Linked DNA regions of Stegostoma tigrinum. The protein of the gene in region 1 interacts with the protein of each later gene in a pairwise test. Links are inferred from orthologs where the notes say so. Each region holds a gene or a part of one and is shown on either strand. Other genes may lie near its edges.

Region 1 (12,367 bases):
ATTGTTAACAATTCAGATGATGACACAGAAAGTCATACATCCAAATTTGCTGATGATACAAAGTTAGGAAGCTTTCAACAAAGCACACAAAGGGATATTAATAGATTAGGTGAATGGGCAAAAAACTGGCCAATTGATGTAAGCAAATGTGAGGATATCCATTTTGGACCAAAGAGATTAGAACAGGATTGTTTTCTGGGTGGTATAATGTTAAATGCAGTGTATGTCCAAAGAGGCTTGGAGATCCAGTTGCTTAATTTTTTTTTAAATACAATGGAACAGTTGTAGAAAATAATCAAGAAGGCCAATTGAATGCTGACCTTTATATCTAGATAACTAGACCATAAGGATACAGAAATTATGTGGCAGTTATAAGGAACAGTAATTACGGCCCGCTTGGAGTACTATCAGCAGGTTTCAGGAGGGAGTATGATATGATTTTACAAGAATGGTACCTGGACTTCAGGGGTTAAGTTATGAGGAGACATTGTACATATTAGGAGCAAAATCAGAAATTGCTGGAAAGCCTCAGCTAGTCTCGCAGCATCTGACAGACTTCTGTTTTTGTTTCTGATTTACAGCATCCACAGTTCTTTCAGTTTTTTCACAAATTGGGCCTGTTTTCTTCAGAATTTGGACGGTTACTGGTGATCTGATCAAAGTGTTCAAGATATTAACAAAAAAAGACAATTTCCAGTAGTTGAATTTTCTGGATCTAGGGGAGGTAGTCTTAAATTTAGGGCCAGACCTTCAGGAGGGATGTTAATTAGCACTTCTACACACAAAGGGTGACACAGGATTGGAACTCTCTTCCAGAAGTGGTAGCTATAGTGTGACAGAGATGTATAGCATCAAAACAGACCTTTCGGTCCAACTCATCCATTCTGACCAGATATTCTAAATTAATCTAGTCCCATTTGCCAGCGTTTTGCCCATACCCACTATTTATATACTCATCCTGATACTTTTTAAATATTGTAATTCTACTGGCTTCCACCACTTCCTCTGGCCATTCATTCCATACATGCACCACTTTGTGTGAAAAAGTTGCCCCTTAGCTCCCTTTTAAATCTTTTCCCTCTCACCTTAAACCTATGCCCTTTAGTTTTGAACTCACCCACCCTTGGGAAAAGACTTTGTCTATTTATCCTATCCATGCCCCTCATGATTTTATAAACTTCTATAGAGTCACCTCTCAGCCTCCAACACTCCAGGGAAAATAGCCCTGGCTTATTCAGCCTCTCCCGATAGCTCAAGCCCTCCTACCCTGGCAACAACCTTATAAATCTTTTCTGAGCCCTTTTAAGTTTCACAACATCTTTCCTACAGCAGGGAGACCAGAACTGTACAAAGTATTCCAACAGTGGCATAACCAATGTCCTGCACAGTTGCAACATGACCTTCCAACTCCTATACAATATACTGACCAATAAAGACTTGCAGACTAAATGCCTTCTTTACTATCCCATCTCTGATTCCACATTCGATGAACTATGAACCTGCACTCCCAGCTCTCTTTGTTTAGCAACAGTCCCAGGACCTCATCATTAACTGTACAAGTCCTGCCCTGATTTGCCTTTCCAAAATGCAGCACCTCACATTTATCTAAATTAAACTCCATCTGCCACTCTTCATCCCGTTTGCCCAGATGATCAAGATCCCATTGTAGTCTGAGGTAAACTTCTTTGCTGTCCACTACACCTCCAATTTCAGTGTCGTCTGCAAACGTACCTCTCGTGTTCACATCCAGCTCATTTATATCAATGACAAACCGCAGTGGATCCAGCACTGATCCTTGTGGTATACCACTGGTCACAGCCCTCCAGTCTGAAAAGCAACCTTCACCACTACTCTCCGTCTCCTACCTTTGAGCCAGTTCTGTAATGAAATGGCTAGTTCTTCCTGTATTGCAAGTGATCTAATCTTGTTAACCAATCTATCATAAGGAACCTTGTTGAACATCTTATTGAAATCCATTATAGATCACATCCTTTACTCTGCCCTCATCAATCCTCTGTTACTCCTTCAAATCATTAGTGAGACATGATTTCCCAGGCACAAGGCTATGTTGACTATCTATAATCAGTTCTTGCCTTTCCAAATACATGTAAATCCTGTCCTTGAGGATTACCTCCAACAATTTGCCCACCACCAATGTCAGGCTTACCAGTCCATTGCTCCCTAGCTTTTCCTCACCACCTTTCTTAAATGGTGGTACCACCTTAGCCAACCTCTAGTCTTTCAGCATCTCACCTGTGGCTATCGATGATACAAATGTCTCAGCCCAGCAATCACTTCTCTAACACCCCACAGAGTTATACGTTACACCTAATCAGGTCCTGGGGATTCAGCCACCTTCATGTGTTTTAAGATATCCAGCACTTCCTCCTCTATAATATGGACACTTATCAAGACATTCAGATTTTTTTTCCCACGTTCTATACCTTACATTTCCTTCTCCACAGTAAACACTGATCATAGAGCTATACAGCATCGAAACAGACCCTTCGGTCCAATTCATCGAAACCGACCAGATATCCTAAATTGATCTAGTCATGTTTGTCAGCATTTGGCCTATATCCCTCTAAATCCTTCCTATTCATTTGCCCAACCAGATACCTTTTAAATGTTGTAATTATACCAGCCTCCATCACTTCCTCCCTCTGCATGAAAAAGTTGCCCCTTAGGTCCCTTTTAAATCTTTCCTGTCCTATCCTAAACCTATGCCCTCTAGTTTCAAACCCCCCCACCTCGGGGAAAAGACCTTGGCTACTCACCTTCTCCATGCCCCTTGTAGAGGTTTTATAAACCTCTACAAGGTCACCTCTTGGCCTCTGACGCTGTAGGGAATAATAGCCCCAGTCTATTCATCCTCTCCCTATAGTTCAAACCCTTCGAACCTGGTAATATCCTTGTAAATCTTTAAATGTTGTTAATTTAAAATCTGAAATAGATGCATTTTTGTTAAGTAAAGGTACTGAGGGATATGAGCCAAGGGCTGTTATATGGAACCCAAAACAGAAATTGCCAGAAAAACTCAGCGGCGAAATCAGAGTTAACACTTCAGGTGGAGAAAGCCTTTCTCAAAACTGACGAGCGCAGATATATGGGAAAACTGTGGATCAGCCACCGCCTCTCATGGTCAGTGAAACGAGTTGTGCAGAAGGATTTTAATTTACATTCATTTAATTTTAATTTAATTTGATTTGATTTCATGGAAAGATGGAAGAGGCTGGAGAGGCTGAATGGCCTGACTCCTGTTCCTGAGTATGGAGGCCAGGCCCCCAGAGACAGGGCCTACCCTCCCTGACGACCTCTTCAACTAGCCCCCACCTGAGGACCTTGCCCTCTTCCCTTCCCAATTGTGCCCCCACCGTCACACCTTTGACCCCGCCCTTTTCCCTCAGTGACGCCTCTGGCCACGCCCATTCTGATTCCCCCTCCCCCTCTCGGCCCCACCGGCATCGTAGTGGCTGCCGCAGGGTCCTCTTTTCACCCCTCCCTTCAGGAGAACACAATCCTCCCACCCCGGAGCGGGATAAGATAAATGCTCCTCACAACCATTCCTGAACCCTCCGCCAAACCGCTCCAGAAATAGAGCGAGCGACAACCGGTGGATCCCTGCCGCAGAACATTTGTGAAACTGCAAATTAGTGCTTATTCTTTATCACGAGCTTCCGAAGAGACTTGAAAAGGTTTTTTGAACTGTGAATTAAAATGCTTCCGCGGAACCCGTTTCACGGGCTGGTGGCCGACCACAAGTTTCCCCAGATTTAATCAGTACACCTTTTCACATAGTGGGGACGTGAATCTTTGACATAATTCACATCCTGTTGATGGACAATTGTCTTCCCATTGTTTCCACACCGCCCTTTCTACTTGAAAAGACGATGTGCAGCGGTTATTTAAGTCCCAAGACAAAGGAAGAAAAGTCCTCAAATTCAGTGAAAGCCTTTTTTAAAAAATTGCTTTCACATCTAATGATTTTGAATGATTGGCTCTTAAGGTGATTGATTCCTTATTCATTCGACAGTTTGCAACCACGAGCCATCACCAATAAAATGTCAAGTCCATTCCCCTCACTCATTGCCGCGACACCACATTCTGTGCAATTTTAGAATTGGGGAAAACGTTGTTAAGGGCAGTAAGACTGTTAGAAGTGTAATCAATTTGTCATCTGACCTCAACATAATCTGAACTGTCCTAAACCGTTTTTTTTAAAGCAGCCTGATCTGAAACGTTTTGGACAAACTGACCCGTTTCATTCCCGGAAAATCGTCAGTAGAACAAGTTATCCTCTCCCCATTCTCGGGAGGGACGTAGTAGTTCCAGTCACTTTCAACGAGGAGCAGAAGAACAGAAAATGTTGGAAAAACACAGCTGTCTGGGAGCATCTATGGAAAGAGAAACAGACTTAACATTTTGAGTCCAATATGACTCTTCTTCAGACTAAAGAACAGTTGATCGTTCCTAACTATCCTTAAGAGTATGGTGATGAGTTGCCTTCTTTAATTGCTGTAGTTAAAATGACGTGGTGAGGTGCAAGTATATTCACAGTGCATGTTTGCACATTCAAGAAGTCTGTCACCACACAGCATCCAAGTCAGATTTGAACAAAATATCAGAGGTTGGGCATTGCCTATATAAACACAGTCCTTTATACATAGAGCTTTCCAAAGAAAAGGTGAGTCACCTTGATAAAAGAATGATGAGAATGTGATTATAGAACATAGAACATGAGAGCACCGTACAGGTCGGCCCTCGATGTTGCACCAACCTGTGAAACCAATCTGAAGCCCATCTAACCTATACTATTCCATTATCATCCATATGTTTATCCAATAACCATTTAAATGCCATTATACCATTAAAGTTGGCAAGTCTACTACTGTTGCAGGCAGACCATTCCTTACTACTCTCTGAGTAAAGAACCTACCTCTGACTTCTGTCCTATATCTATCACCCCTCAATTTAAAGCTATGTCCCCTTGTGCGAGCCATCACCATCCGAGGAAAAAGGTTCTCACTGTCCACCCTATCTAATCCTCTGATCATCTTATTTGTCTCTATTAAGTCACCCTCTTAACCTTCTACTCTCAAGTCCCTCAGCCTTTCTTCATATGATCTTCCCTCTATACCAGGCAACATCCTGGTAAATCTCCTCTGCACCCTCTCCAATGTTTCCACATCCTTCCTATAATGCGGTGACCAGAACAGTACGTAATACTCCAAGTGTGGCCGCATCGGAGTTTTGTACAGCTGCAACATGATCTCATGGCTCCGAAACTCAATCCCTCTATCAATAAAACCTAACACACTGTATGCCTTTTTAACAACCCTATCAACCTGGGTGGCAACCTGATTAGCACAGTCAGTTCCATAGAATGGCAAGAAATGAAATTTCCAGATTTGCTGTCAGTCCTAACCTGAAAGACATCAATCAGAAAGATGTCAAGTGGAGCCTGCAACATTTCCCAATAATGAAATGTAATTTATTAAAGATACTACCTCTCTGGCTTGTCTCACAATTTTGTATAAGAATCATTGGCAAGAGCAAGTATACCAAAATAGGTAACGAAATAAAATGGAATAGAAACCTAATTGAAACATTCCCTCAATAATTAAAATTTCAACTTTATTTTTTTAAGAACAGATATGATGCAATGTGTTTCAATAAAAAGAGCGGGAAAACTAAAATGGTGAAATAGACAGCACCTTCCAAACATGCACTTAGCTGAAAGCATGTCTGCATATAGCTAAGGAATTTTTGTCGAAAGGCCCGAAATGTTAACTCTGGTTCTCACTTCACAGATGCCAACTGACCCAAAGTGTATTTCGAGCATTTTCTGCTTTAGGTTACTAAGGAAGATCAAGGGTTGACAGGAGGTTTGACAGGGATACAAATTCAATGTGCAAGTCGTAACGCAGCGATAAATTTAAAATAACAATATAATACAAACATCCCGTGGTATCGTGAATTAAAGCACTGTTTAAAGACTGAACTGCAGAAAATAATTGCTGCTGTGGAAATAATTCTGCTTCAATGTCTGTTACTGCTGCACTTTACCACAGGGTTATCGCGTCTGTTCCGAGAACTGGATTATTTCCAGGAAACACCTCAATGTCACAGCTCAACCTCTTAGTCAAAGAGGTTAAGAAGTAAGCTGAAAAAGAAGCTCCACAGAAAGACTTTTACCTGTCCACTTATTAATATTTTAACCCATATTACCATTACAGCTATCTTCATTTAATGATGTCTATTGTGATCACAGTGTATCAAACGTAGTACCTCATTTGCCAGACGTAGAACACACTGGCAGCTACCACAGGCAGACGGTTAATTATAGTGTCTGTTATAAGTTCTGAAGAAGTCATAGTGGTCTCAAACATTGTATCAGAGATAATGGGAACTGCAGATGCTGGAGAATCCGAGATAACAAAGTATGGAGCTGGATGAACACAGCAGGCCAAGCAGCATCTCAGGAGCACAAAAGCTGACGTTTCGGGTAACTCTGTTTCTGTTTCCACAGATGCTGCCAGTCCTGAGTTTCTTCAGTATTCTCTCTGACAATAGAGATTGTAGGTCTGGGTTTGTGCCTTGGGAGTTAAAGATTTATAGAGAGAGAGCAGTGTTTTTACTTTTAAAAACCCTAAAATGTTTGGTATGTCTACAAACCCCTGAAACATTGACCTGGTGGTTTTGTGGTGAACCCTGACTTGCCAGGAATTGCTCCTTGATCTTGTTTCAGTTCTGCGTCATACCCATGGAAAGGCAAACCAGCAGACTGGCCATGTATCAATGCAAAGTGAAAGCCATGATGTGTCACGAAATGAGTTATTCTGGTGAACACAAATATTTTGGTTGCCAAAAAAGTTGAAGAATTTAAAATCTGTCCACTCTCCATTTTCAAATGTAGCTGCAGCCACTCAGGCCACAGTTTAAATGCTGCACAGAAACGTGTCCGCAGTTGGAAGCTGGAAATCTGAAATATATAAGAATAAATTCTGTAGAAGCTCAGCAGAATTAGAAGCATTTGCGGACAGCAGAACAGAGTGAGCGTTTCGAGCCCAGTGCGACCCCTGTTCGGAACCTACTGAGTTTGTCCAGATATTTTCAGTTGCTGTTCCTATTAAAATTCTCTCTCGATGACTAATCTAATTCCAATAACACTTCACTGAGTTTGAAGTAATGCATTTTCCGATAAAGTCTTCCTGCTTGTATCCATGCCAACATTATACTTTACTGTAAAGTGCGTCAAAGATTGCAGAGGTTTGGTGGCGGGGGGGGGGCATATTTTGGTTGTCCACCTCGTGGTTTGCCCGTTGATTTGTTTTGGAGTCGGTTTCCTGCGATGTCTCAGGAGTTTCATTAATTATGGAGTTCAGTGAATACGAGACAGCAGATGCCCCTCGCTACAGTTTGCAAGAGGAGGAGGAGGAAGAGGATGAACGAGAATGGTGTTGTACAGTTGACGACATTGACAGTAGCCCTGGGTCTCCTGCCTCTGCAGCAAGCGGCGAATTGACAGGTACGGGTGAAACTGAAAGCCAACATCCGTCTGACTGCCAAATTGAAGACTCATAATATAAGCCTATTTGAGTTATCATCTTTAGCCAATTGCAAACCATATAATGGCAGTTTTCAGGGCGGGTTAATGGCTTGAGTTCAGAAATTATATTGCTGATGATGAGATGGGCTGGAGGAAATACTTGTTGAAAACGATACTACCGGGTGGCCCAGAATCGACAACACACAACATACATCTGGAAAATGAATGGGCATCTGTCTTTGATTCATAAAAAGAAATTTTGATGTCTGATTTTGATCTGGTCCGAAATCGATCAAACAGCTCTTGCCATTGTTGTCCGGAAGAAAAGGAGTGATTTATTAACAAGTTGTGCATGGATGAAAGGACATTCCATCTAAGGAGCCAAAAAAAACCCTTTCAGATCAGACAGAGGTCCACCTGCACATCCTCCAATGTGGTCTACTGCATCCACTGCTCCCAATGTGGCCTCCGCTACATTGGTGTGACCAAGCTGAGGCTGGGAGACTGCTTTGTAGAGCACCTGCGCTCTGTTCTCGATAAATGGCAACAACCTTCTGGTTGCAGACCGTTTCAACTCCCCCCCCCCCGTGCGACACGTCCATCCTGGGCCTCCTCCAGTGTCACATTGACGCCACCCGGAAACTGGAGGAGCAGCACATCATATTCAGTCTTGGGAGCCTACAACCCAATGGTCTCAATGTGGACTTTACCTGTTTCAAAATCTACCCATCCTCGGCCTCATCCCATGATCAACCCTCCCTCTCATCCCCGCCTCCTTGACCTGACACAACCTGTCCATCTTCTTCCCCTCCTATCCGCCCCACCCACTTCACTGACCAATCCCCACCACTGCCGACCTGCACTCACCAATCACCATCCCACCTATCTCCCCCAGTCCTAGCCCTCCTTTCTATTTATTTCAGAGACCCCTCCCCCCTCTCATTTCTGTAGAAGGGTTCCAACCCCAAACGTCAAGTTTCCTGCTCCTCTGATTCTGCCTGGCCTGCTGCGTTCCTCCAACTCCAGCATCGGCAGTCCTTACTGTCTCTCAGGAATTGCTTCTCCCTGTTTTATAAGATGAAAAAGATTCATTTTCAGTTTATATGTGTGACCCCGCAATAAGGGATGTCATCAGGCAATTTGACCAAATGCAGTGTGTGACGAGTCTGACCTCTCCCTAGGGGGATACCTGCATGATCATACTTTATAGCAGGAGGTCACTAGGCAGTCATCAAGGATGTAGTACATGCCTGGATTGTGTGAGGGGTAAGAGATCATCTGTTATTCCTGGAGGAGATGGTTGTGTAATGGCATGTTGTTGGTTCCAGGAACCCACAGGCCCAGGTTAATTCTCTGGGAACAAGGGTTTAATCCTGTCTAATTAAGACCTACAGTGTAAATAGACAAGTATAGCTGGGGAGGTGATGGCCTAGTGGTATTATTGCTGGACTGTTAATCCAGAGACCCAGATAATGTTCTGTGGGCCCGGGTTCAAATCCCACCTTGGCAGACGGTTGAATTTGAATTCAATACACATCTGGAATTAAGAGTCTAATGATGACCATGAATCCATTGTCAATTGCCAGAAAAACCCACGTGGTTCACTAATGTTCTTTAGGGAAGGAAACTGCTGTCCTTACCTGGTCTGGTTTACATGTGACTCCAGACCCACAGCAATGTGGTTGACTCTTAACTGCCCTCTGGGCAATTAGGGATGGGCAATAAATACTGCCTAGCAGGAGACACCCTCATTCCATGCATGAATAAAGGATAAACAAAAGCCGATCAGTAATGGTGACCATGGCCTGTATATGACTCCAGGCCCACAACAATGTGGTTGACACTTAAGTGGCCCAGTAAACCACTCAGTTGAAGGGAGTTTAGGCCTGGGTTAAAAATGGTGCCCTGTAAATAAACAGACTGACTACTCAGCACTTTCACAGGTTCAGTAATGTGCTAATTATCAACTAAACCATCAAAGATGCCTTCCCTCTCTTTTTTAAAATCTGTGGAACAACTGACTTCTTTAAGGAGTACCATAGTTGCAGGCAAAACTATTTTTGAATTTTATTGTTGCAAAGTGCAAATGAAGGCTCATATCCCACAGGATACAGTTATGATAAGAAGAACTGACAAGCTAATTCAGGAAACTGTGGCTATTATGGTTGTGTGCTCTGTCACAATTCAAATTGAAAAATTGTTTTGATAATTTTTAGATCCATCTCTGGCAAGTGAGTAGTGAGCTTAATTTTGGGTTACAGTGGGATTAGTGTCTTCAGGTTGAAATGCAATATTTCGTAAATTTGGCTGTAAAATTTGATTGTGTGAATGCTGGATTTTCCAGATTACCATTGCAGCAATGGTGTTTGCTGATGTGTTAACACGTTTTAATTGCAAAGTGTTAATCTTACCAGCAGCACTTACTGATAGCTATCTATGTAGTTAGTAGTCTGTTGATTCCAGCAGACTGTTAATTCGTCTGGCAGGAGCTAACTTTGAGAGAGACTGAATTGTATTTCTTTCAACCTCCCATCAGATATGAAAAATGTTTTTGTTTCTTTTGTATGAGTTCGACTTTACATACAAACTGCACTAGCGAAATAAAGGATGGAAATTAGGAAAGCAGAGAGAGAATATAAAAAAAGAGGGCAGGTAAAATCAGGGAAAGTTCAAAGATATTTTATCTGTACGTTAAGAGCAAGTGGATAACTAAAGAAAATTGGAAAATTTTATCTTTTTCTCTTCCAATTTCCACCCTGTTCTCACCTTCACCTGATCTATCTCTGACTCTTCCCTTCCGTTCCTCGACATTTCCGTTTCCATTTCTGACGTTAAGCTGGCCACCAATGCCCCAGTACAAATCCAACGACTCCCAAAATTTCCTGTACTATACATCCTCCTACCCTGCTTCCGGTATTCCCTGTTCCAAGTTCCTCCATCTCTGTCACATCTGTTCCAATGATGTCAACTTCGACAAGGCGGCCTCCAAAATGTCCAACATCTTCCTAAACCGAGAATTTCCCATCATCGTGGTTGATAGCACCCTCAGCTGGGTCCAACCCATCTCTCGCACTTCACCCCTCAGCTCCCTCTCTTCCCACCCAGTCCAGTGGGAGGGTCACCCTTGGCTTCACCTACCATCAACCAGCATCCATTTCCAAAGGATCGTTAACCACCATTTCTACCACCTCCAGCGGGATGCCACCACTAGACAGCTATATATCCCTCCTCTCCCTAGTAAGCTGCAGGGACCTTTCCCTCCTCAATACCTTGGTCCATTTCTCCTCCATTCTGAACATCTCCCTTCTTTCCCATGGCACCATGTAATCGATGGTGCTGTCCCCTGCAATCACAGAAAACACTGGCCTGTTTACTTCCTCCCTCCTCACTTTCCAAGGCCCTAAACACGCCTTCCAGGTGAAATGTCGTCAACTGTATTCGCTGTGATCGACACTGGGGGGAACAAGCCTAATTTCTGACCACAAAATACAACCCTGAGTTTCTGGTTGCCTGTCAGTTCAACACACTATTGTGTTCCCTGGCCAATATCTCTGTCTCAGCCTTGCTGCAGTGCTCCAGTGTCTCATTTTCTGCTTGGGGACCCTGCAGCCTTTTAGGCTCGATATTGATTCCAACACTTTTAGGGCTTGAACACTTTTCCCCATTTCCGTACCCTTGTCATCACATGGACTGCTATCATGAACAACCCATTGTCAGTCACCAACAGTCCCCATTAGTGGCTATTCATTCTCCCAGACTGACATTTACCCACTCCTTTCTCTACCCAACTCTTCTCTCTCTCTCTCTCTCTCTCTCTCTCTCTCTGGGCTCCACCTCTACTCATCATTTACTGTCCCCTCCACCCCCACCCCGTGTTCAGCATATATACCAACCTTTTCCTCACTACAATTTTTGGACTGGAAAGTTTAGCTCTGCTTTCTTTCCACAGATGCTGCTAGATCTGCTGAGTTTTTTTCTGGCAATTTCTGTTTTTATTTGTAATGAAAGGAGGGACTGACGCTATGGGTTGAGATGTGCACTGTAATTTTTGCATGGATGCAAAAGATAAAGGCAGGGTTCTAAATGAGTATGTTGTTTCTATATTCGTAATGCAGACATTCTAGTTAAAGAGGAGGAGTGTAAAATCTTAGACACAATATGCGTAATACGAAAGGAAGTACTGGAGAGCATGACATCCTTAAAGTTGGTTAAATCACCAAGAAAGCAGAAAGGAAATAACAGATGCACTGCAGATCATTTTCCAGATAAAAATGAGACGCCTGAAGATTTAAAGTTTGCAAATGTTGGACCATTGTTTTTAAAAAAGGTGTCGGGTTAAGGCAAATGATATTGTCAGTCTGTCTGATTTTGGTGATAGGCAAATTATTAGAATCAATCCTGAGAGATGGACTGTCACTGAGAAAAGCACTGATTTATTAGGGATTGTCAGCATGGCTTGTTTAGGGGAAGATCATGCCTTTTTAACGTAATTGAATTTTTTGAGGAAGTAACAAGAGAGAAATAGTTGAGACATAGGTTATAGGAGCAGAAGGGTAATGTTGAAGGTGTACAGGACTTTGGTGAGGCCACAAGTGGGGCACTGTGTGTAGTTCTGCACACTGCACTCTAGGATTGGCATGATTGGTGTAGAGGGGATTCAGAGGCAATCCACCGGGATGCTGCCTGGGATAGAGCATCTTAGCTGTGAAGACAGGCTGATTAAGCTTGGATTGTTTTCTTTAGAACAGAGAAGTTTGACAGCCAGCCTGATAGAGGTGTACAAGGAGCATGGACAAAGTAGCTGTTTTCCCTTAGTTG
Region 2 (12,349 bases), on another chromosome or scaffold:
TGCTACTGCCCTCTGGGCAATTAGGGATGGGCAATAAATGCAGCCTAGCCAGCGATTCCCTCATCCTGTGAATGAATAAAGTATCCTCAGTATAAGAGGTTGCCCATGTAAAGCAGAGATGAGGAGAAACTCCTTCACCCAGAAGGTAGTGGAATGTATGGAATTCCTTACCTCACAGACTGGTCCAGGCTGGGTCATTAACAATATAAAAAGCTGGGATGGATGGATTTTTAATCAGTGAAGGAATCAAGGGTTTTGGGGAAAAGGCAGGAAAGGCGAATTGAGGATTATCACGTTAGCCATGCTCTCACTGAACAGTGAAGCAGATTTAATGACTGAATTGCCTACTTCTGCTCCTGTATTTTACGGTGTCATATGAAAGACATCCTCCTGAGGACATTTTACTATTTTCAACGTACCCTAAAAATGCAAGTTGTTGCTGCCACAGCAACAACAGCTAGGGTTTTGAGATGAAAGGGTGACTGCACACCTTATTCAAATGTTGAGGGGTAAGTAAGAGGCCTTCAAGGCAGCAGACAGAATATCTAAGTGAGGCATAGGAACTAGGAGACATTACTGCCTGTCCTTCATTGCCCAAGGTGGGTGGTGAGTTGCCTTCTTGAACTGCTGCAGGAGTGAGGAGGAGGAGCCTTTTCTGACATTCAGTATGATCATGGCTGATCCTTCACCTAAACACCACATTTTCACTTTCTATCCACATCCCTATGATACCTAAAATTTATCAAATTCTTTTTTTGAATACGGCAGACATAGCAAGATTAAACAACAGGCTTCAGGGACTTTGTGAATCAGTGTGCAGGTGCAATAGACACCATCATTTAATGCAGATTTTTCAATCATCTCAATGCCTCCCAAAATCCTCTTCCTTTCTCCATCTGTCTTTGGTTCAGTTTCCAGTAACTTCTTCTAGCATGTCTATAAAGGCTCAGGAAATGTTTGAAATACTCAGCATGTAAGGAAGCATGTGAAAAGATATAAACAGAATTAATATTTCAGGTTGGTACCCATTAATATGATCATAAGAAGGCATCTGAGGGATATCATAAATTTTAAGTATGCCTACAGACTGGGAATGAAGAGAGCAGGAGAACAAAAGGGTGGTTTTGAGGTACAGTGAAAGACAGGAAAAGATTAAACAGCAAAATAAATAATGATGCTGTTTATCTTGTACCATTATCCTTTTTTTCCATTTAATCTCTCTCCTCTTTCTACCACAGATGTTCCTTCCACCAGACATGCTGGATTTCTCCAGCATTTTGTTTTTATTCAACATGTGCTTGCACGGTATTCACATTCGGCTATTTTTCCCCTTCCATTTCTCTGCCTCTGAACTTGCTTAGAAACTGTTGCAGTTCTAACTTCTGCAATTCTGATGAAAGGCTTTATAGAGTCATTCAGCAGGGACCTAGACCCCTTTGGGCCAACTCATCTATGCTGACCAAGTTTCCCAAACCAAACTAGTCCCATTTGCCTGTGTTTGGCCCATATCCCTCTAAACCTTTCCTATTCATGTACCTGTCCAAATGTCTTTTAAATGTTGTAACTAGACCTGTATCTACCACTTCCTCTGGCAGTTCATTCCACATATGAACGATCTTACGTGTGAAAATCTTGCCCTTCAGGTTCCTTTTAAATCTTTCTCCTCTCACCTTAAAAACGTGGCCCCTAGTTTTGAACCTTCCCATTCTCGGAAATGGCTGCTCTTCACCTTATCTAAGCCCCTCATGATTTTATAAACCTCTGTAAGATCACCCCTCAACCTCCAATGCTCCTGTCCCAGCCTCTGCAGCCTCTCCCTATAAGTCAAATCCTCCAGTCCCAGCAACATCCTTGTAGATCTTTCTGAACCCTTGTAAATTTAATAATATCTTTCTTATAGGTGACCAAAACTATACACGGCACTGAAAAAGTAGCCTCACCAATGTACTGTACAACCTCAATGTGACATCCCATCTCCTATAAACAATGGTCGGAGCAATGAAGGCAAGAATGTTAAAACACCTTATAATCACCCTGTCTACCTGGAACACAACTTTCAAAAGAACTATGTAACTGAACCCTAGGTCTCTGTGCGATAACACTATCCAGGCCCTACAATTGACTGTATAAGTGCTGCCCTTGTTCAGGCTACCAAAATGCAATACTTCGCATTTATCCAAATTAAAATCCAACTGCCCCTCCTCAGTCTTTTGGCCTAATTGATCAAGATCTGATTGTAATCTTAGATAACATTCTTTACCGTTGACTATACCAACAATTTAGGTGTGACCCGCAAACTTACTAACCATGCTTCCCAAATTCTAATCCAAATCATTTAGGTAATTGATAAGGAACAGTGGATGCACAACACCACTGGTCACAGGCCTCCAGTCTGGGAAATAACCTTCCACACCACCTGCCGAGTCCTACTGTCAAGGCAAGTTTGTATCCAATTAGCAAGCTTCCCTGAATCCCACGTGATCTAACTTTACTAATGTGCTTTGACCTAAAACACCACAGATGCCATCTGACGTGCTGAGTATTTCCAACACTTGTGATGTTTTAATTGGGCATCATGGTACAATGTCTCTTCCTTTCAAACTTCGCAAAGCATATGGATTGTTTGTTTTTAAAGCTGTTGTATAATTCAAAGTTTTGACCATTCTGATAGGCTTCTGGCTGGTCCCTCTGTAAACAAAGGTCATCCAAAACTCTGCTGCATGTGACTTAACTTAAAACAGTTCTCATTCCCCTATCAGCTTTGTGGTTGCTGAACTACATTTATAGAACTTTGTTTTCTAATTCCGCTATGGCTTCATCCTGCCATATCTCTGCCATCGGCTTCAGAGCCACAACTTGTGTGCACTTTGCTGATTCCGGCCTCTTGTGTATTTCTAATCAAAAACGTCCCACAACTGGTGGTCATGCTATCAGTTGCCTAGGCCCCAACTTCCGGAATCCCTCTCCTCGCTGCCTCACTTTCCTCCAATAAGATATTCCTCAAAAAACCTACCGTTTTGAGCAAGCTCTTGATCGACTGATCCAATATCTTCCTATGCGGCTCGGTATTATACTTTATTTTTGAAAACTCCTATCAAGCGCCTTGGGACATTTCACTGTGTTAATGATGGAGCAAAACATTTTACAGTAAGGAATAAAACAATCAACAACGTTCACACTAGTTCTCCGAAAGAACAATGCACCATATTTCAACTCCATCTTTCCCTGTATATGAAGACGATAACATGACAGCTTCAGAAAACATGCAGTTCAGTTCAGCTCAATACATACATACCAAACTAAGTCACTAGCGTAAACTTAATCTGCTGAAATGGGTTTGCAGACAGAAATAAGACAATTTCTTCCCCCAGTGTCTCAGACTCAAGTATTACGACAGGACCTAACATAAGAACCAAATGGACAGTACATCATCTTAAACTATCTTGTGCACAGCTACACAACAAAGGGGACCGTGATATGCTCTATGAATTGTCACCACTTCATTACCTGACAGAAATAGCAGACAATCAATGAATGTGACTGCACCTCAGATTACTCCAGTAGTAATTACGCATTTTGTTAGGTGCCTACATTTTATTTAATATACATTCACTTATCCGTAAAACAATAATTGAAAAATGAACACTGACCAACCAAACTCTTACTAGACCAATTCAATCCCAATGGGACAGCACAGGTTGCCTTAGATGAAAGGTGTCTAGACATGTATAATTTCACCTTAGAGACAAGAGAGAAATTAAGTGAATTCTGAAATAAGATACCAGTGCCAGACAAAGAAACATTCAAAGTAAAGGTAAACAGTTACAGCTCCATCCCTTGAGGAAAGAAAGTAGTGTTTATGTCATGATTATATTCAGAAGGAGAAAAACAGAAGAGAAAGAAGAATTGGAGACGTCTGAAGAATCGTTACTTTTCTCTTTTCCCCTGCCTAAGGCACCATGTGAATAACCATGTTTCAATTCTATGTTTGGCTTGCTTTCAAATGGCAGAGGTCCTGTGAAATTAGCATGACTGAAAGTGAGACTCTAAAATGGAGAGATTCAACATGGGAAAAAAAATGGAATTAGTACTTCTTTCAATATGGTAAACTAAGCATGAACCATAGCAACCTGCAAAAGGTTGTAAGAGCCATGCAGCATCTTGTATTTGCTTTGCCATTCAATAAGATTGAGGCTGATCTAACAGCGGCCATCACCACTTTGCTGCCATACAACTAAACAAGCTATCTATCTCATCTTTGATTACATTCATTGAATCCACCTTCACTTCCATCGGCAATAGAGATTTCTAAATATTCATGACATTCAGAGGAAAATCCTCTTCTTCTTAGTCTTATATCTGCAACCCCTCATTCAGGAAAAACATCCCCAAATCTAAATTTACTATGAGGTATCACACCTTTTTAGCATATTGCCGAAAGGCAGTATATGAGTACGTCTCCTTACAAACTTGATCAAGAAATCCCCAAAGGGCTCTTGATGGCAACATGATTAAGAATCAAAATAAAAACAAAGAACTGTGGATAGTGGAAACCTGAAACATAAACAGAAAAGACTGCAGAAAGTCAGCAGGTCTGGCAGCATCTATAAAGAGAAAAGCAGAGTTAATGTTTCAAACCCAATAACCTTTTGTTAGAATCATTTGGGATGTGGTGCTCCAAATCAAAATAGCATCTTAAAATGAATGGACCATTGCTCCCCAGGGAGAACCATCCCACACCACCAGAATACACAAGGAATTTCTCTGTTGGTGTTTCACTTCAATTGCTTGCACAATCTAAAAAGAGCACTACACTCCCACACAGGTCAGCCACACATACTGCAAAGCACATTTAACACAAACTTGGTTGCTGATTCTGGTTTTATAGCAATAGAGACATTTCCAGGTGCAAAATTAAATTCTTCACGCATATATTTAAGGAAAATCTAACAAATTATTCATAAGCCGTCGCCAAACAAGGTATGTCTCAACAGATGTTGACAAGGGTTTGGGGGGTGTGGCTAAGAGGGATAAGACACAGCATTTCCTCGAGGAACAGACATTTGTGGACAGATATAAACAGGAACAGAAGTTTACGAGAATAGGAAGAACAGAGCTAAAGTCTGACCAAAATCCCCATTTGTTCCTTACGTGGAAATGAAATCACGACACAATCCGTGCAACATTATTATTTTGCCGCGAATTATACTCAATTTTGGACAGGAGGCTGCTATGTGAAAATTGTTGAGAAAAATCATACAAATTAGGGGGAGAGCCTTCTAAAAGGTACGCGAGGGGGTGGCGGCGGGGAGGGATGTTATACGAGCCTCCTCCGAGATTGGGAGGGAAATCATCTGGATTATGGGGAAAACCCCCTCCTGTTGATTGGAAAGGGGAAGCCTCCTCCTGGATGATGGGGACGCCTCCTGCGGTCTCCCTTCCAGCCCCCGCCCCCGTCTGGAGATGATCCTCTGCTCCGGAGCAAAGGGCTCCCAGGGCACTAGGGTCTGTCCTCATGCAGGACTTTGGTTCTAAGCTCCGTCCTGACCCCTGGGGAAAGGCCGACATTGTTTGTAACTAAGGCTGGGTCTGCAGCTCTTTAGCACCGACACCCGGAGCCCCGGGAGGAGGGGGAACCGGGCCCCGCGCTCTCTCCGTGCCGGTGCCGCCAGTCACGTAACCGGGAACGACTCACCTCTCACGGCCTAATACTCATCCCGACCTCAGTTACCGTCCGTCTCCCGGCTTCTGTTACCACCGTTTGTCTATCGGGCTGCTGGCCTCTGCCCCTCACTCCGGTCTCCGACTCCGTGATCTCTCCATTCCCGCTCCACCCCGCCCCGTCCGCCCGCTCCGGCACCGCCTGCAACTACCCTGTCACAGCGACACCGAGGTCTGGAGGCTGGTACTACACCCATTCACAGCGACTCCGAGGGCTGGAGGCTGGTACTACATCTACACACAGCGACACCGAGGTCTGGAGGCTGGTTCTACACCCACTCACAGCGACACTGTGGGCTGGAGGCTGGTAGTACACCTACACACAGCGACACTGCGGGCTGGAGGCTGTTACCACACTTAGTCACTGCAACAGCGACACCGAGGAGTGGAGGCTAATACTACACTCACTCACAGCGACACCGAAGGCAGGAGGCTAGGGTACTACACTCAATTACAGCGACACTGGGGGCCGGAAACTGATACTACACATAGTTACAGCGACACCCGGGCCACGAGAGGCTGTAACAACAAAATTCCAAAGCGACACCTGGTGGGGAGATGGCTGTAAAAGGAGCGCAGTGGAAGCTTGAAGTACAGTCACAACGACAGTGTTGCTGTCCTCTTACCAGTCACAGTGACACCCGCAGTTGAAAATGTGTAACTACACTGTGTTATAATGACACCAAGCGGTAAGGACCTGTAACTACAGCCATTATCACCATGACACCGTGGTGCGCCACAGTGGCAGCTGATGGAATCGTACAGCTTACACCTGGCTCACACATTTATTCTGTTTCTGAAACGTGTCGGGAACCACAAAAGGAAACCTTCCACCATATCGGAGATAGCAAGAACAGCAGATGCTAGAGTCAGAGTCCACACAGTGTGGAGCTGGAGGAACACAGCCGGACAGGCAGCATGAGAGGAGGAGAGTCGACGTTTTGGGTCGAGACCCTCGGACCTTTTGTCAGGTGAGGAAGGAGCAGCGCTTTGAAAGTTTGTGATTTCACATAAACCCGTTGGAGTATAACCTGGTTTTGTGTGACTTCTGACTTACTGTTGGTGAAACAGCGAAAGGGTGAAGTTTTTAAATGGCTATTCTGAATAGGCAGAGAGCCCGATTGCTTCACCGCCGCCTGTAAAATTCCGGAAGGTTCAGAGATGGAAGGATACGCTCGGAAAGGTCACCTGCTGGCTTTCCTTCAACTGTGCCCACAGTGATTTTAACATGCTAGAACAAAAACTTTGTCATAAGATTGGGGAAGTGGGGATGTCATTAAACGGATAATCCAGAACCCCAGGCGAATGCTCGGAGAATATGGTTTGAACAAAAACCTGGAATTAAAAGATAGCCTAATGGGTTTGTCAAAGACATATTGTAATAATCTGCCCAATCTAGTTGAATTTTCTGAGTGACAAAAAATTGATGAAGGGCTTTCAATAGGTATTGTGTATATATACATAAAGCAATTGTTCAATAAAATTGAAGCCAGTTGAATAAGATGATCAGTGTTAAATTAGATGAAGATTAGCTTAAAGACAGGAAATAGCAAGTTGCGGTTAATAGTTGTTTTTCAGACGAGAAGATGGTAGATATGGTGTTTCCCAAGGTTGAGTTCTAGGAATACTTTTTATCTCTATACACTTGCTTTATCTTTCAGCTTTCCCCATGTTCTATGGAATTGCTGCAATGTTGGGTGACCACCCTCATTCCAATTAAGGGATAACAAGGTGTAGAGCTGGATGAACACGGCAGGCCAAGCAGCATCAGAGGAGCAGGAAAGCTGACGTTTCAGTCTGGACCCTTCAGAAATTCTGGAGGGGAAGGTGATTCTGAAATAAATAGAGAGAAGGGGGGAGGCAGATGAAAGTTGGATAAATGAACAGATAGGTGGAGAGGAGACGGACAGGTCAAGGACTTGGGCATGGAGCCAGTGTAGGTGAGGAGTTAGGGTGGGGGTTGGTCACTCCAGGGAAGATGGCAGGTCAAGGAGGCAGGGATGAGGCTGGTGGGTAGGAGGTGGGGGTGGGAGGAGTGGATAGGTCAGAGAAAGGAGGACAGATTAGGGAGGTGGGGATGAGCTGGGCTGGTTTTGGGATGCAGTCAGGGATGGGAGATTTTGAAGCTTGTGAAGTCCACATTGATATCATTGAGCTGCAGGGTTCCCAAGCGGAATATAGGGTGCTGTTCCTGCAGGTGTTAGTGAAGTGGATAAACTGTTCAAGCTCCTCATGAGAGCACATTTGACATCGCTGTGACACTGGAGGAGGCCCAGAATTCATATGTTGTCCAAGGAGTGGGAGGGAGTGTTGAAGTGGCTCTTGAGTGGGAGGTGCAATTGTTTGTCGTGAACCGAGCCTAGGTGTCCCACAAAGTGGTCTCCAAGCCTCCGCTTGGTTTCCCCGATGTAGGGGAGGCCACATTTGGAACAGCGGATATAGAATACCACATTAGCAGATGTGCAGGTAAACATCTGCTTAATGTAGGTTTTCTGGGGGCCTGGGATGGGGGTGAGGGGGGGAGGTCTAGGGGCAGGTGTAGTATTTCCTGTGGTTGCAGGGAAAAGTGCCGGGGGTGGTGGGGCTGGTGGGGAGTGTGGAGTGGACAAGGAAGTCATGGAGAAAGCAGTCCCTCCAGAAGGCAGATAAGGGTAGGGAGGGAAAAATGTCTTTGGTAGTGGTAGTGGAGTCAGATTGCAGGTAGCAGAAGTGCCAGAGAGTGATGTGTTGGATCCGGAGGTTGATGGTGTGATACGTGAGGACAAGGGGGATTCTGTGTTTGTTGTTATTGCGGGGAGTGGGTGTGAGGTATGAGTTGTGGGAAATGTGAGAGACACGACCGAGGGCTTTTTCAACCATTGTGGAAGGGAATTTGTGGTCCTTGAAAAATGAGGACATCTGGGATGTCTGGGAATGGAATACCTCATCTTGGGAGCAGATATGGCGGAGGTGAAGGAATTGGGAATAGGGGATGGCATTTTTGCAGGAAGGTCGGTGGGAAGAGGTAGCTGTGGGAGTCAGTAGGCTTGAAATGGATATCGGTTTCCAGGTGGTTGCCAGAGATGAAAATAGAGGTGTCCAGGAAGGAGAGAGAGGTATCGGAGATGGTCCAGGTGAACCTAAGGTTGGGGTGGAAGGTGTTAATGAAGTGGATGAACTGTTCAAGCTTCTTGTGGGAGCGTGAGGCGGTGCTGATGCAGTCGTTTTAACCTCATTTCAATTAACAACTTTTTAGATTTAGTGGGTGGTTTTACAGTTGAATGCCTTCCTGCTTCTAATCCTCCCCCTTTGTCCAGGGGACTGACATTGATATGTGTAGACCCGTCGACCTGCACTAGTGGTATCTTCTAAGGCTATTGTTGTGACCAAGGTTGGAAAATTACACTGAGATAATGGGAACTGCAGATGCTGCTGTATCCGAGATAACAAAGTGTGAAGCTGGATGAAGACAGCAGGCCAAGCAGCATCTTAGGAGCACAATAGCTGACATTTTGGGCCTAGACCCTTCATCAGTGGGTCTGTTTTAGGTTCAGTACATAAAGACCCATAAACCAGGTTTATTAAGTTAACAAAATTATTGATCATTATAACAACAAAACTATTTGATAAAGATGCACTAACAAGTTTGATATGTGGAAATAGTAAGAATTTACACTTTTAACTAACCCCAGTACACATGCACATGTACAAATTTGAGAAAACATTAACAAACTTTCTCTGCAGAAATTAATATTATAAAAACACTTTGGCCAAAATAGTTGTAAATTCTCATAGAATGAAAGTTTAAGATATGAAATATTCCAGATTGCTTTTAGTCAGGTAACCTTTAACATGTAAAATGGACCAATAGGCTGAGACAGTTTTCAACAGACATATGCAGTTGCTCCTCTAGGATATCTATAGAAACAGTTAATTCAGGGTGTCAATAAACAATAGGTGCAGGAGTAGGCCACTCGGCCCTTCGAGCCAGCACCACTATTCATTATGATCATGGCTGATCATCCACAATCAGTATCCTGTTCCTGCCTTATCCCCATAACCCTTGATTCCACTATCTTTAAGAGCTCTATCCATCTACTTCTTGAAAGTATCCAGAGAGCTGGCCTCTACTGCCTTCTGGGGCAGAGCATTCCATATATCCACCACTCTCTGGGTGAAGAAGCGGAAACATGCTTCCTGCCTCCAGAGTGTCCAATCCCTTAATAATCTTATACATCGCAATCAGATACCCTCTCATCCTTCTAAACTCAAGTGTATACAAGCCCAGTCGCTCCAATCTTTCAACACATGATAGTCCCGCCATTCTGGGAATTGACCTCATGAACCTACGCTGCATTCCCTCAATAGCAAGGATGTCCTTCCTCAAATTTGGAGAACAAAACTGCACACAATACTCCAAGTGCGGTCTCACCAGGGCCCTGTACAGCTGCAGAAGGACCATTTTGCTCCTATACTCAATTCCTCTTGTTATGAAGGCCAGCATGCCATTAGCTTTCTTCACTGCTTGCTGTACCTGCATGCTTGCTTTTATTGACTGATGTACAAGAACACCCAGATCTCGTTGTACTTCCCCTTTACCCAACTTGACTCCATTTAGATAGTAATCTGCCTTCCTGTTCTTGCCACCAAAGTGGATAACCACACATTTATCCACATTAAACTGCTTCTGCCATGCATCTGTCCACTCACCTAGTCTGTCCAAGTCACCCCGTATTCTCATAACATCCTCCTCACATTTCACACTGCCACCCAGCTTTGTGTCATCAGCAAATTTGCTAATATTACTTTTAATGCCTGCGTCTATATCATTAATGTATATTGTAAACAGCTGTGGTCCCAGCACCGAACCTTGTGGTACCCCACTGGTCACCGCGTGCCATTCCGAAAGGGACCTGTTTATCACTACTCTTTGCTCCCTATCAGCCAGCCAATTTTTAATCCAAATGAGTATTTTGCCCCCAATACCATGTGCTCTAATTTTGCTCACCAATCTCCAATGTGGGACTTTATTAAAGGCTTTCTGAAAGTCCAGGTACACTACATCCACTGGTTCTCCCTTGTCCATCTTCATGATACATACTCAAAAAATTCCAGAAGATTAGTCAAGCATGATTTCCCCTTTGTAAATCCATGCTGACTCTGACCTATCCTGTTACTGCTATCCAAATGAGTCGTAATTTCATCTTTTATAATTGACTCCAACATCTTTCCCACCACTGACATCAGACTAACCGGCCTATAATTTCCTGTTTTCTCTCTCCCTCCTTTCTTGAAAAGTGGGACAACATTAGCCACCCTCCAATCCGCAGGAACTGATCCTGAATCTATAGAACATTGGAAAATGATTACCAATGCGTCCACGATTTGTAGAGCCACCTCCTTAAGTACACTGGAATGCAGATCATCAGGTCCTGGGGACTTATCAGCCTTCGGACCTAACAGTCTATCCAACACCATTTCCTGCCTAATATAAATACCCTTCAGTTCATCCATTACCCTAGGTTTTTCAGCCACTATTACATCTGGGAGATTGCTTGTGTCTTCCCTAGTGAAGATAGATCCAAAGTACCTACTCAACTCTTCTGCCATTTCCTTGTTCCCCATAACAAATTCACCCGTTTCTGACTTCAAGGGCCCAATTTTAGTCTTAACCATTTTTTTTCATTTCACATACCTAAAAAAGCTTTTACTATCTTCCTTTATATTTTTGGCCAGTTTTCCTTCATAGCTCATTTTTTCTCTGTGAATTGCCTTTTTAGTTATCCGCTGTTGCTCCTTAAAAGCTTCCCAGACCTCCGGCTTCCCACTCATCTTTGCTATGTTATACTTCTCTTTTATCTTTATACAGTCCTTAACTTCCCTCATCAGCCACAGCCGCCCCTGCCTCCCCTTAGGATCTTTCTTCCTCTTTGGAATGAACTGATCCTGCACCTTCTGCGTTATATCCAGAAATACCTGCCATTGTTGTTCCACTGCCATCCCTGATAGGGTATTGTCCCACTGAACTTTGGCCAGCTCCTCCCTCATAGCTCCATAGTTCCCTTTATTCAACTGCAATACTGACACTTCCGATTCTCCCTTCTCCCTTTCAAACTGCAGATTAAAACTTATCATATTATGGTCACTACCTCCTAATGGCTCCTTTACTTTGAGGTCCCTGATAAAATCCGGTTCGTTGCACAACACCAGATCCATAATTGCCTCCTCCCTGGTAGGCTCCAGTACAAGCTGTTCTAAGAATCTGTCTCGGAGGCACTCCACAAACTCCCTTTCTTGGGGTCCAGTACCACCTGATTCTCCCAGTCTACCCGCATGTTGAAATCTCCCATAACAACTGTAGTGATACCTTTGTGACAGGCCAATTTCAACTTGCACCCTACATCCTGACTACTGTTTGGGGGCCTGTAGATAACTCCCATTAGAGTCTTTCTACCCTTAGAATTTCTCAGCTCTATCCATACTGACTCTACGTCTCCTGATTCTATGCCCCCCCCCCCCTCGCAAGGGACTGAATATCATTCCTCACCAACTGGGCCACCCCACCGCCTCTGCCCATCAGTCTGTCCTTTCGATAGCACGTATAGCCTTGAATATTCATTTCCCAGGCCCTATCCACTTGGAGCCATGT

What was found.
Region 2: the proteins of poli (region 1) and rev1 interact in a two-hybrid assay, tested with the Homo sapiens proteins (2 studies listed by BioGRID). The link is inferred for Stegostoma tigrinum from reciprocal best matches to the Homo sapiens genes POLI and REV1.

The regions. Positions count from the first base shown.
Region 1 is NC_081354.1:155,778,358-155,790,724, reverse strand, and holds the start of poli (DNA polymerase iota), read left to right. Parts: upstream 1-7,289; 5' UTR 7,290-7,374; coding exon 7,375-7,528; intron 7,529-12,367. UniProt on the Homo sapiens protein: Error-prone DNA polymerase specifically involved in DNA repair. Plays an important role in translesion synthesis, where the normal high-fidelity DNA polymerases cannot proceed and DNA synthesis stalls. Favors Hoogsteen base-pairing in the active site.
Region 2 is NC_081359.1:59,636,239-59,648,587, forward strand, and holds the start of rev1 (DNA repair protein REV1), read right to left. Parts: upstream 5,884-12,349; 5' UTR 5,696-5,883; intron 1-5,695. UniProt on the Homo sapiens protein: Deoxycytidyl transferase involved in DNA repair. Transfers a dCMP residue from dCTP to the 3'-end of a DNA primer in a template-dependent reaction.